2 linked regions of the Arabidopsis thaliana genome follow. The protein of the gene in region 1 interacts with the protein of each later gene in a biochemical or structural test. Each region holds a gene or a part of one and is shown in the gene's direction. Other genes may lie near its edges.

What was found.
Region 2: the proteins of MBD6 (region 1) and CHR1 form a complex in vitro, tested with the Arabidopsis thaliana proteins (one study listed by BioGRID).

The regions. Positions count from the first base shown.
Region 1 is NC_003076.8:23,950,193-23,954,235, forward strand, and holds MBD6 (methyl-CPG-binding domain 6), read left to right. Parts: upstream 1-1,939; 5' UTR 1,940-2,128; coding exon 2,129-2,437; intron 2,438-2,846; coding exon 2,847-2,969; intron 2,970-3,047; coding exon 3,048-3,293; 3' UTR 3,294-3,515; downstream 3,516-4,043. Other genes in the region: ACT4 (actin 4), read left to right, coding at 68-461, 610-1,223, 1,329-1,394. UniProt on the Arabidopsis thaliana protein: Transcriptional regulator that binds CpG, CpNpN and CpNpG (N is A, T, or C) islands in promoters regardless the DNA methylation status. Plays probably a role in gene silencing. May associate with histone deacetylase proteins (HDAC).
Region 2 is NC_003076.8:26,647,059-26,653,727, forward strand, and holds CHR1 (chromatin remodeling 1), read left to right. Parts: upstream 1-1,838; 5' UTR 1,839-1,991; coding exon 1,992-2,023; intron 2,024-2,228; coding exon 2,229-2,307; intron 2,308-2,442; coding exon 2,443-2,709; intron 2,710-2,810; coding exon 2,811-2,897; intron 2,898-3,005; coding exon 3,006-3,352; intron 3,353-3,432; coding exon 3,433-3,622; intron 3,623-3,707; coding exon 3,708-3,883; intron 3,884-4,015; coding exon 4,016-4,082; intron 4,083-4,159; coding exon 4,160-4,349; intron 4,350-4,431; coding exon 4,432-4,527; intron 4,528-4,604; coding exon 4,605-4,699; intron 4,700-4,773; coding exon 4,774-4,893; intron 4,894-4,996; coding exon 4,997-5,116; intron 5,117-5,201; coding exon 5,202-5,300; intron 5,301-5,390; coding exon 5,391-5,495; intron 5,496-5,586; coding exon 5,587-5,811; 3' UTR 5,812-6,133; downstream 6,134-6,669. Other genes in the region: AT5G66740 (spindle assembly abnormal protein (DUF620)), read left to right, coding at 56-343, 591-932, 1,018-1,500. UniProt on the Arabidopsis thaliana protein: ATP-dependent DNA helicase that plays a role in formation, organization, stability and heritability of heterochromatin and thus regulates several physiological traits.

The DNA.
Region 1 (4,043 bases):
ATTGCTATGTCACATATATATAAGGCTATGCCATAAACGACTACTCAAAAATATATCCCGTGCTTAGGCCGGATTCGCGGGTGACGATGCACCAAGAGCGGTTTTTCCGAGCATTGTAGGCCGTCCTCGCCACACGGGTGTGATGGTAGGGATGGGACAAAAGGATGCTTATGTTGGAGACGAGGCTCAATCAAAACGTGGTATCTTGACTCTGAAGTACCCAATTGAGCATGGAATTGTTAATAATTGGGATGACATGGAGAAGATTTGGCATCACACTTTCTACAATGAGCTTCGTGTTGCCCCTGAAGAACATCCGGTTCTCTTGACCGAAGCTCCTCTCAATCCGAAAGCTAACCGTGAGAAGATGACTCAGATCATGTTTGAGACATTCAATACTCCTGCTATGTATGTTGCCATTCAAGCTGTTCTCTCACTCTATGCCAGTGGCCGTACAACTGGTCAGTAACACACTTATATTTGTGTTGATCCAATCTATAACCAGTTTTTTTTCATGCTTGATTTTAAATAATATGAACTATTTTAAGGACTATTTGGTTATGCTTTTATGGACAACCCTAATTGGTTCTTTTGCAAATTATTGATTAGGTATTGTTTTGGACTCTGGAGATGGTGTGAGCCACACGGTACCAATCTACGAGGGTTACGCTCTCCCACACGCAATCCTACGTCTTGACCTAGCAGGTCGTGACCTCACGGACCACCTCATGAAAATCCTCACAGAGCGTGGATACTCCTTCACCACAACTGCTGAACGTGAAATTGTTAGAGACATGAAAGAGAAGCTCTCTTACATTGCTCTAGACTTCGAGCAAGAGCTAGAGACTTCCAAAACAAGCTCGTCCGTTGAGAAAAGCTTCGAGCTTCCTGATGGACAAGTGATAACCATTGGAGCAGAGAGGTTCCGGTGTCCGGAAGTTCTGTTCCAGCCGTCAATGATCGGAATGGAAAATCCAGGAATCCATGAAACCACATATAACTCTATCATGAAATGTGATGTGGATATTAGGAAAGACTTGTATGGTAACATTGTGCTAAGTGGTGGAACCACAATGTTTGGAGGGATTGGTGATAGAATGAGCAAAGAGATTACGGCTTTGGCTCCAAGTAGTATGAAGATTAAGGTCGTGGCTCCACCGGAGAGGAAGTACAGTGTATGGATCGGTGGCTCTATATTGGCTTCACTCAGCACTTTCCAGCAGGTGAACACATTAATATACATTTTTATTATTATTTGATCATGTATAATATAACATTCATAAGTTTGTTTTGATATAAATATTGGTATGTGTTTGAAAACTTGACAGATGTGGATTGCGAAAGCAGAGTACGATGAATCTGGACCCTCAATAGTGCATAGGAAATGCTTCTAATCACAGTTCCTAAGATCACCAAACGAAGACGGAAGTAAAAGTAAAAGACAGAAGGTTAAAAACATTGAGATTACTACCAAATGCCACATTTTTCCATTATATTTTCTAATCTCTCTTTTATCCTTTTTTTTTTGAATAGCCTCTCTATGTTAATTTTTCAACTAAGCATACTTTTCTTTAAACAATTTCCACTCCCAATGTACTATATATAAGCGACTAATTTCAATTATTATATTTTCTATTTTAAACTTAATTTATTTGTTACTCAAAAGAGATTTTGTGATGGTTAAACAATTGTGACTAATATACTTCAAAGACATCCGTATCAAACACAAAACAAGCTCCATAATGTTGATCTAGTACAAACAATTGTGACATATAAATGCATATTGTCGAAACTCACTAAATCTTAGATTACTCGGTTAAATGGATGTGGTCTAATAAGTGTCAATAAACACAACACAAAATGTTAAACTGATGGATTAGTGATGAGAAGATGAGTTTAAATGTTTCATTTAGTAATAAAACGTGTTTATTATGTTTGTTGGTAAAGAAAAGAAGAAACGAATTGTTGATGGTTAACTAAATTTTAATTTCTTATTCGATCTCGGTTTAACCGAACCGAATCGTAAACCCAGAAACAGAAGCTGCGACGGAGAATCCATTTCTCGAGATCGTCGCCGTTAAAATCTGCGATCTCATTGCTCATTGGTGAAGACAAATCCCTAATTCGTATGTCAGATTCTGTGGCCGGCGATTTCCCTCCCGATCCACTTCTCGCCTCCGGAGCCTTCATCTCCTCCGCCGGTGACGGAACCCTAGACAGTAGTGCGAAACGACGACCGATTCAGGGAGGAATCGGAATTTCTGGTTCGGGAGAGAGCGTACGCATCGGGATGGCTAACGGCACTGATCAGGTGAATCATCAGACGGAATCGAAGTCGCGGAAGCGTGCGGCGCCTGGAGATAATTGGTTGCCTCCTGGTTGGAGAGTTGAAGATAAGATTCGAACTTCCGGTGCCACAGCTGGTTCGGTGGATAAGGTAAAGAATCTCAGCTTGACTCTGCTTTTCTCTATGAAGTTTTGAGCTGCGTTGTTGCTTGAAGACTACAAATTGAGGATTCTTTGATTGCTGTTGTTTTGTTCTCTTTGGTTTAAAAATCTTGCCTTTAAAGTAGTGACAAGTGTAATGATGTAGTAAAATGATGTGGTTGGTTCTGCTTAAGCATTAATGAGTTTGTTTAGATTATGTTAATGGTGTATTGGGACTTGAATCATACACTTTATCAGTGTGATTAGTGTTACTTTGATTTATCAGGTGGATTTAGATGGTTTGGTTTGGTATATATTGTGATTGAAGAGATGAAGTTTTGGTGTTGTTATACTCGATGCTAATATGGGTGTAGATATTGATGTGTAGACTTGTGACATTTTCTTATCTGGTTTTGCAGTACTATTACGAACCAAATACAGGACGTAAGTTTCGGTCCAGGACTGAGGTGCTGTACTACTTGGAACATGGAACTTCTAAAAGAGGCACCAAGAAAGCTGAGAATACATATTTCAATCCAGACGTGAGTTTACATGCTTAAAGATTAAACCTTTCACCCTGGTTTCAAACCTGTGATGTGTATTGAATTTTGCATTTGCAGCATTTTGAAGGCCAAGGAAGCAATAGAGTCACCAGAACCGCTACAGTGCCTCCACCTCCGCCACCGCCATTGGACTTTGATTTTAAGAATCCACCAGACAAGGTAAGCTGGTCTATGGCAAACGCAGGAGAAGAAGGTTGGATACCTAATATTGGGGACGTCAAGGTTCAAGACTCAGTGAGACGAGATTGGAGCACTGCGTTTACCTTTATCACAAGCCGAAACCCTAGTAAAGTGTCGGCTTGAAGACTATGATGACCTGGTGGCGATTTTTGGGTTGTTGCATCTATGGTAAGATACACAGATATGTTAGGGTTACTTAATTGGATAATTCTTGTTTAGTCTTCATTCATCAATCATCAAGTTATGTGTACTATAATTTTTGTAGCGGTTTTTGGAAGAATATGATAAGGGGATATGCATCTTTGTGTTTGCTTTTGGAACGTGATAACCATTCGACTTTTGACTGATGAAATTGAAGACACTGTCGTAGTAACAAAGCTATTCTTCTTAGACATTTTGATACTGAACTATTCTGTGTTCCAAAGTCTTTTACTTTGTGTTTAGGAAAAGATCTTGTTCTTTGTGAAACCAGTGTCGTAATTCAAGAACTAATGCTTGACATGTCTCACCTGCTCAGGTTATCTAAATCTAATGGATAAGAAGAAACATCAACAATACTGCACTGATACAAGACAAGAAGCGTCTGTAGTCCAACGGTTAGGATAATTGCCTTCCAAGCAATAGACCCGGGTTCGACTCCCGGCAGACGCAATTATATTTTTCCCAAACATAATTTTAGATTTTGTTAACCAAACAATTTGTGGGGTTCGAATGTAACTGGTTGTAGCACATTTAATATCTGCAATAAATTATCAAAAAGGCCATTGGAACTCTCCCAACCCATCGTCTAATTTAGTAATTTTTGGTCTTGTAACCTTCTAGGTGTACCAGAGGCTTCCTTATTAGTCTTGTATCCCAAGCTTTTGAAAAAAA
Region 2 (6,669 bases), 2.7 Mb from region 1:
CAATAGAACAAAAGAGAAACAGAGGAACAGAAAGAATAGAAGGAGTGGGAAGTGTATGAGGAAGCTGTGTCCGAACATAGACAAAGACGATGGTCTGGAGACGGTGTTGGAAGTTCCGATACCGGAGGAGATGTTTTCCGGTATGGGCAACAACGTTGCACTTAGGTGGCAAAATATGATGACGTGGATGAAAGCTCAAACGTCTGATAAATGGTCGCAACCGCTTATCGCCGCTCGTATCAACGAGCTCCGGTTCCTTCTCTACCTCGTTGGCTCGCCTCTTATACCTCTCCAGGTTCAAGTCGGTCACTCTGTTCATAAGCCCGTCAAAGATTGCTCCATTGTAAGTCATTCAAAATCAATCCTTATGAAAACATAACAAAGATGTTGAAAATATGATTCCTCTTTTTTTTTTCTTTTTTTCTTTTATGATCAAAACCCAAAAAAGTCATTACCCTGCTTCGTAAGTATTCAACATAAAGTTGTTAATCCATGTGTTGTACTCTGCAAGTCTGCATTACATTATTCATCGTACACAGAGTCATCAACTTCAGTTTCATTGTTTTTTTGCTTATGAATTACGATTGCAGCAAGCTTCAACGGCGAAATACATTGTACAGCAGTACATAGCAGCGACGGGAGGACCACAGGCGTTAAACGCCGTGAACAGCATGTGCGTCACGGGACAAGTGAAGATGACGGCGTCGGAGTTTCATCAAGGAGATGATTCGGGCGTTAATCTAAAGAGCAACGACGAAATGGGTGGTTTCGTTTTATGGCAAAAGGATCCAGATCTTTGGTGTTTGGAGCTCGTCGTCTCCGGTTGCAAAGTGATATGTGGAAGCAACGGTCGGCTTTCATGGCGACATTCCTCTAACCAGCAAACTCCGGCGTCTACCGGAACGCCAAGACCTCTCCGCCGGTTTTTACAGGTCCAATCCGGTTATTGATTTTTTTTTTGATGTAATGTCCGGTTCTCAAAATGTTGAACCGGTGGTTTATTTATTGTTTGAGCAGGGGTTAGATCCTCGTTCGACGGCGAATCTGTTTCTTGACGCAACGTGTATCGGAGAGAAGATAATCAACGGTGAGGATTGCTTTATCTTGAAACTGGAGACGAGTCCGGCGGTTCGAGAAGCTCAAAGCGGTCCGAATTTTGAGATAATTCATCACACGATATGGGGTTATTTTAGTCAAAGATCGGGACTTTTGATTCAGTTCGAAGATTCGCGGCTTTTGAGAATGAGGACCAAGGAAGACGAAGATGTCTTCTGGGAGACTAGTGCTGAGTCGGTGATGGATGATTACCGATACGTTGACAATGTGAACATCGCTCACGGCGGGAAAACATCGGTCACGGTTTTCCGGTACGGTGAAGCGTCGGCGAATCATCGGAGACAGATGACGGAGAAGTGGAGGATAGAAGAAGTTGATTTTAATGTTTGGGGTCTCTCCGTTGATCATTTTCTTCCTCCGGCCAATTTGCAGATCGAAAAATGATTTAGCTTTTTATTAAAAATATTGTTATTCGTTTTTAGCCGATATCATAACTTTTTGAGATACATTATCAACACACTCGTGCAACTGAGATATTCTTGACACAATTTTTGCATTTGAAATTGGCAATTTTGTACTACTCATATAGTTTGAAGCTTCAATTCACTACAAAGGTTATTACTAATTGTGTCGACAAATCCAGCAGATTTAATAATGCCCATTCCATTAAATGTTTTTTAGTTTAATAATAGGATGATCATATGACCAAAATCGTAAATAAGGGTTAGGGGTAAACCTGTCATTTCAAGCTTCCCGCCCATGGGCGCTACTCCCAATTTAATAAAAAATAAGAAAATAGGCGTAAATATGAGAGTGTGTTTTTTCAATATACCCTCGGTTTTGAATTTGCTCTCAAAAGCGACGGAGACGACTGTTTGGCTCGGTGATTTCTCCCGCCGTTTGGGTTTTTCTTACCGGAATTTCCTTCTCCTTCGATGGTTAGTCTGCGCTCCAGAAAAGTTATTCCGTAAGTCCCTCCACCTTTCCTTTTCATTTCGTTATTTCCGGCGATTTTCTAGGTCCTTAACGCTCTCGAAATCGCTCGCTGTTCTTGGTGGTTTTTGGTTCCCTCTCTGCGTAATTTTGTTTGTCGTGTTTTTGGATTATATTCTCTGACTATTGGTCTCACTGTTGATTTATCATTTCTCGATTTTGGATTTTTGGACTCTTAGGGCTTCGGAAATGGTCAGCGACGGGAAAACGGAGAAAGATGCGTCTGGTGATTCACCCACTTCTGTTCTCAACGAAGAGGTTTGTTCTATGTTCTACTATTTTGCCTTCGTAGTGTGGTTGCTTTGTGAAACTTTGTGTGTTACTCTTTGTTTCTTTAAATCTGGGGTGTTCTGTAAATGGGTCCTTTTTGGTCCTTTTTTTCTGAATGTGAAGGAAAACTGTGAGGAGAAAAGTGTTACTGTTGTAGAGGAAGAGATACTTCTAGCCAAAAATGGAGATTCTTCTCTTATTTCTGAAGCCATGGCTCAGGAGGAAGAGCAGCTGCTCAAACTTCGGGAAGATGAAGAGAAAGCTAACAATGCTGGATCTGCTGTTGCTCCTAATCTGAATGAAACTCAGTTTACTAAACTTGATGAGCTCTTGACGCAAACTCAGCTCTACTCTGAGTTTCTCCTTGAGAAAATGGAGGATATCACAATTGTAATCTTCTTTATTTCTTTCTTCTTTGTGGTTTCTCACTTTTCGAATGGGAGTCATTATTCTTAGTTTGAACAACTTGTGGGTGAAATTTGTTTTGCTAGAATGGGATAGAAAGTGAGAGCCAAAAAGCTGAGCCCGAGAAGACTGGTCGTGGACGCAAAAGAAAGGCTGCTTCTCAGTACAACAATGTTGGTTCCATTTATATAATTTTCAACTACTATGCATGATCTTGTATATATTGTTTTTTCTGCTTGTTTGAGAAAGTAACTTACTTGGATGCTTTTTTCTTCAATCAGACTAAGGCTAAGAGAGCGGTTGCTGCTATGATTTCAAGATCTAAAGAAGATGGTGAGACCATCAACTCAGATCTGACAGAGGAAGAAACAGTCATCAAACTGCAGAATGAACTTTGTCCTCTTCTCACTGGTGGACAGTTAAAGTCTTATCAGCTTAAAGGTGTCAAATGGCTAATATCATTGTGGCAGAATGGTTTGAATGGAATATTAGCTGATCAAATGGGACTTGGAAAGACGATTCAAACGATCGGTTTCTTATCACATCTGAAAGGGAATGGGTTGGATGGTCCATATCTAGTCATTGCTCCACTGTCTACACTTTCAAATTGGTTCAATGAGATTGCTAGGTACTCTCATGGCCATATGTGTTTGTATAGATCCAATGCTTTGGGGTTTCTGTTGAAAGTTTTCTTACCTTTTCCATTAGGTTCACGCCTTCCATCAATGCAATCATCTACCATGGGGATAAAAATCAAAGGGATGAGCTCAGGAGGAAGCACATGCCTAAAACTGTTGGTCCCAAGTTCCCTATAGTTATTACTTCTTATGAGGTTGCCATGAATGATGCTAAAAGAATTCTGCGGCACTATCCATGGAAATATGTTGTGATTGATGAGGTAAATTCCGAGATTGGTCAATGTACTAGGCTTTGAAGATCAAGATGATCTCTCTAACTGATAATTTTGTTCTTGTATATTATAGGGCCACAGGTTGAAAAACCACAAGTGTAAATTGTTGAGGGAACTAAAACACTTGAAGATGGATAACAAACTTCTGCTGACAGGAACACCTCTGCAAAATAATCTTTCTGAGCTTTGGTCTTTGTTAAATTTTATTCTGCCTGACATCTTTACATCACATGATGAATTTGAATCATGGTACAAACATGGTCCTTTTCTACTATTATCCCTAACTAGTCTTCTTTTTTTTTTTTTTTTTGTTAACACTGGTGGCAGCTTTTTGACATTTATTCCTTTCTTAGTATCTAACTGATAGATGAGTCTCTACAGGTTTGATTTTTCTGAAAAGAACAAAAACGAAGCAACCAAGGAAGAAGAAGAGAAAAGAAGAGCTCAAGTATGTACAATTATATCAATTTTCCTTTATTTCTTTGATTGTATTTATGTCTTATGCTAAGGGTACATCTTGTCTAGGTTGTTTCCAAACTTCATGGTATACTACGACCATTCATCCTTCGAAGAATGAAATGTGATGTTGAGCTCTCACTTCCACGGAAAAAGGAGATTATAATGTATGCTACAATGACTGATCATCAGAAAAAGTTCCAGGAACATCTGGTGAATAACACGTTGGAAGCACATCTTGGAGAGAATGCCATCCGAGGTACATGATCTATTTTTTTTTTTTAATACTTTGTTTAATTATGTCATTTTCTGCATTGATTTGTTCATCCCCTATACTTCAGGTCAAGGCTGGAAGGGAAAGCTTAACAACCTGGTCATTCAACTTCGAAAGAACTGCAACCATCCTGACCTTCTCCAGGGGCAAATAGATGGTTCATGTATGTCAGTTTCTTTTAAGAAACGTAAGAAAAACTTCTGTCATACTGTTCTGTCTAATTGTTTCATTTCGTGACAGATCTCTACCCTCCTGTTGAAGAGATTGTTGGACAGTGTGGTAAATTCCGCTTATTGGAGAGATTACTTGTTCGGTTATTTGCCAATAATCACAAAGTATGTTTCACAAACCCATGGCTCGTAGCTCATTTCCCTTTGAGAACTTCTCTGATCCATTTGCTGATGACCAGGTCCTTATCTTCTCCCAATGGACGAAACTTTTGGACATTATGGATTACTACTTCAGTGAGAAGGGGTTTGAGGTTTGCAGAATCGATGGCAGTGTGAAGCTGGATGAAAGGAGAAGACAGGTTTCACCTGTGCTTATGCTGCTTTTGCGTTGCTTTTAAGCAATATTCTGACCAAATATTATAACCATAAGGTCTCTCTCTCTCTCTCTTTGCCTTGAAACAGATTAAAGATTTCAGTGATGAGAAGAGCAGCTGTAGTATATTTCTCCTGAGTACCAGAGCTGGAGGACTCGGAATCAATCTTACTGCTGCTGATACATGCATCCTCTATGACAGCGACTGGGTAATCAAATCAATTAATTTATTTTCTTTGAAGGAAAATCTTTCTCTTTCGTGTTGTCTCCAACTGTGTTTTGTCTGATCTCCAGAACCCTCAAATGGACTTGCAAGCCATGGACAGATGCCACAGAATCGGGCAGACGAAACCTGTTCATGTTTATAGGCTTTCCACGGCTCAGTCGATAGAGGTAAAACTCTTTGTTGTTCATATCAATCAATCTTAACTTCAAACCATTGAGATTGTTGCCTCATGAGATTGGTTTATGACATTTGCTCAGACCCGGGTTCTGAAACGAGCGTACAGTAAGCTCAAGCTGGAACATGTGGTTATTGGCCAAGGGCAGTTTCATCAAGAACGTGCCAAGTCTTCAACACCTTTAGAGGTTTTAACTTCTCTTAAAGCTCAATCCTTTTTAGATACACTTATTATCAACAAAATCTCCTATTGACAGCTTGAACCAAACTAACACACAGGAAGAGGACATACTGGCGTTGCTTAAGGAAGATGAAACTGCTGAAGATAAGTTGATACAAACCGATATAAGCGATGCGGATCTTGACAGGTTACTTGACCGGAGTGACCTGACAATTACTGCACCGGGAGAGACACAAGCTGCTGAAGCTTTTCCAGTGAAGGGTCCAGGTTGGGAAGTGGTCCTGCCTAGTTCGGGAGGAATGCTGTCTTCCCTGAACAGTTAGGACACATTAATAAGCCAGGCCTTGAAACCACTTCTGTGTTTTTTTTTTTTTTTTCCGGAACATGATCGGTTACTTTTGGCTGGGAGGATTTAATTATTAGAGGGCTCGGAAGTTTTTGTAAGTTAAAGAACTCACTTAAAACCCTGAAAACATGACAGTTAATGGTGATTAGCTCTCAATGTGATGAAAACAATTGGCCCTCTGATTTTGCTGTTGCGGTAATATTATGACTTGTGTACGTTTATAGTCTTTGTAGTCTGCAATTTTGGCATTGAGCTATTTCTCACGAACTTATGGGATCTTATGTTTTGGATTTGGGATTTGTTAACTTATATGATTAGGCTCAATAGTTTCACAGAATATTAAAAACTTGAGTAGGGTTTAAAAAAGAAGCAAAAAGCTCCGATGCCGGGAATCGAACCCGGGTCTCCTGGGTGAAAGCCAGATATCCTAACCGCTGGACGACATCGGATTTGTTGATGTCTATTCTTGTAAATAGTAAATATTTAGTTTTATCGGTTTTGCATCTAATGGACTAAAACATGAACACGAGACGCCGACAAGAATGAATGGGGCAGGCACCAAACATTTGGGTAAAAGTATGCAGTGGGGTATTATTGACAATTTGACCATTACAAGAGCTAATCTTAGGGGGTTTTAGTTAGTAAAGCAAACCCGGTTTAGGAGTAAATATGGAGTGAGAATAGGGGTAATTAAGGGAATTTAAGAGAAGTCATCATCGTTTTCCATTTTTCTTATTTTAAGCGCCTCGGTGGCTATCTCTCACTCCGTTCGCGTCTTCCTCTTAAAGGAAACCTCCTCTACGCGAAATTCGTATTCTCTCATTTCTTCTACGGA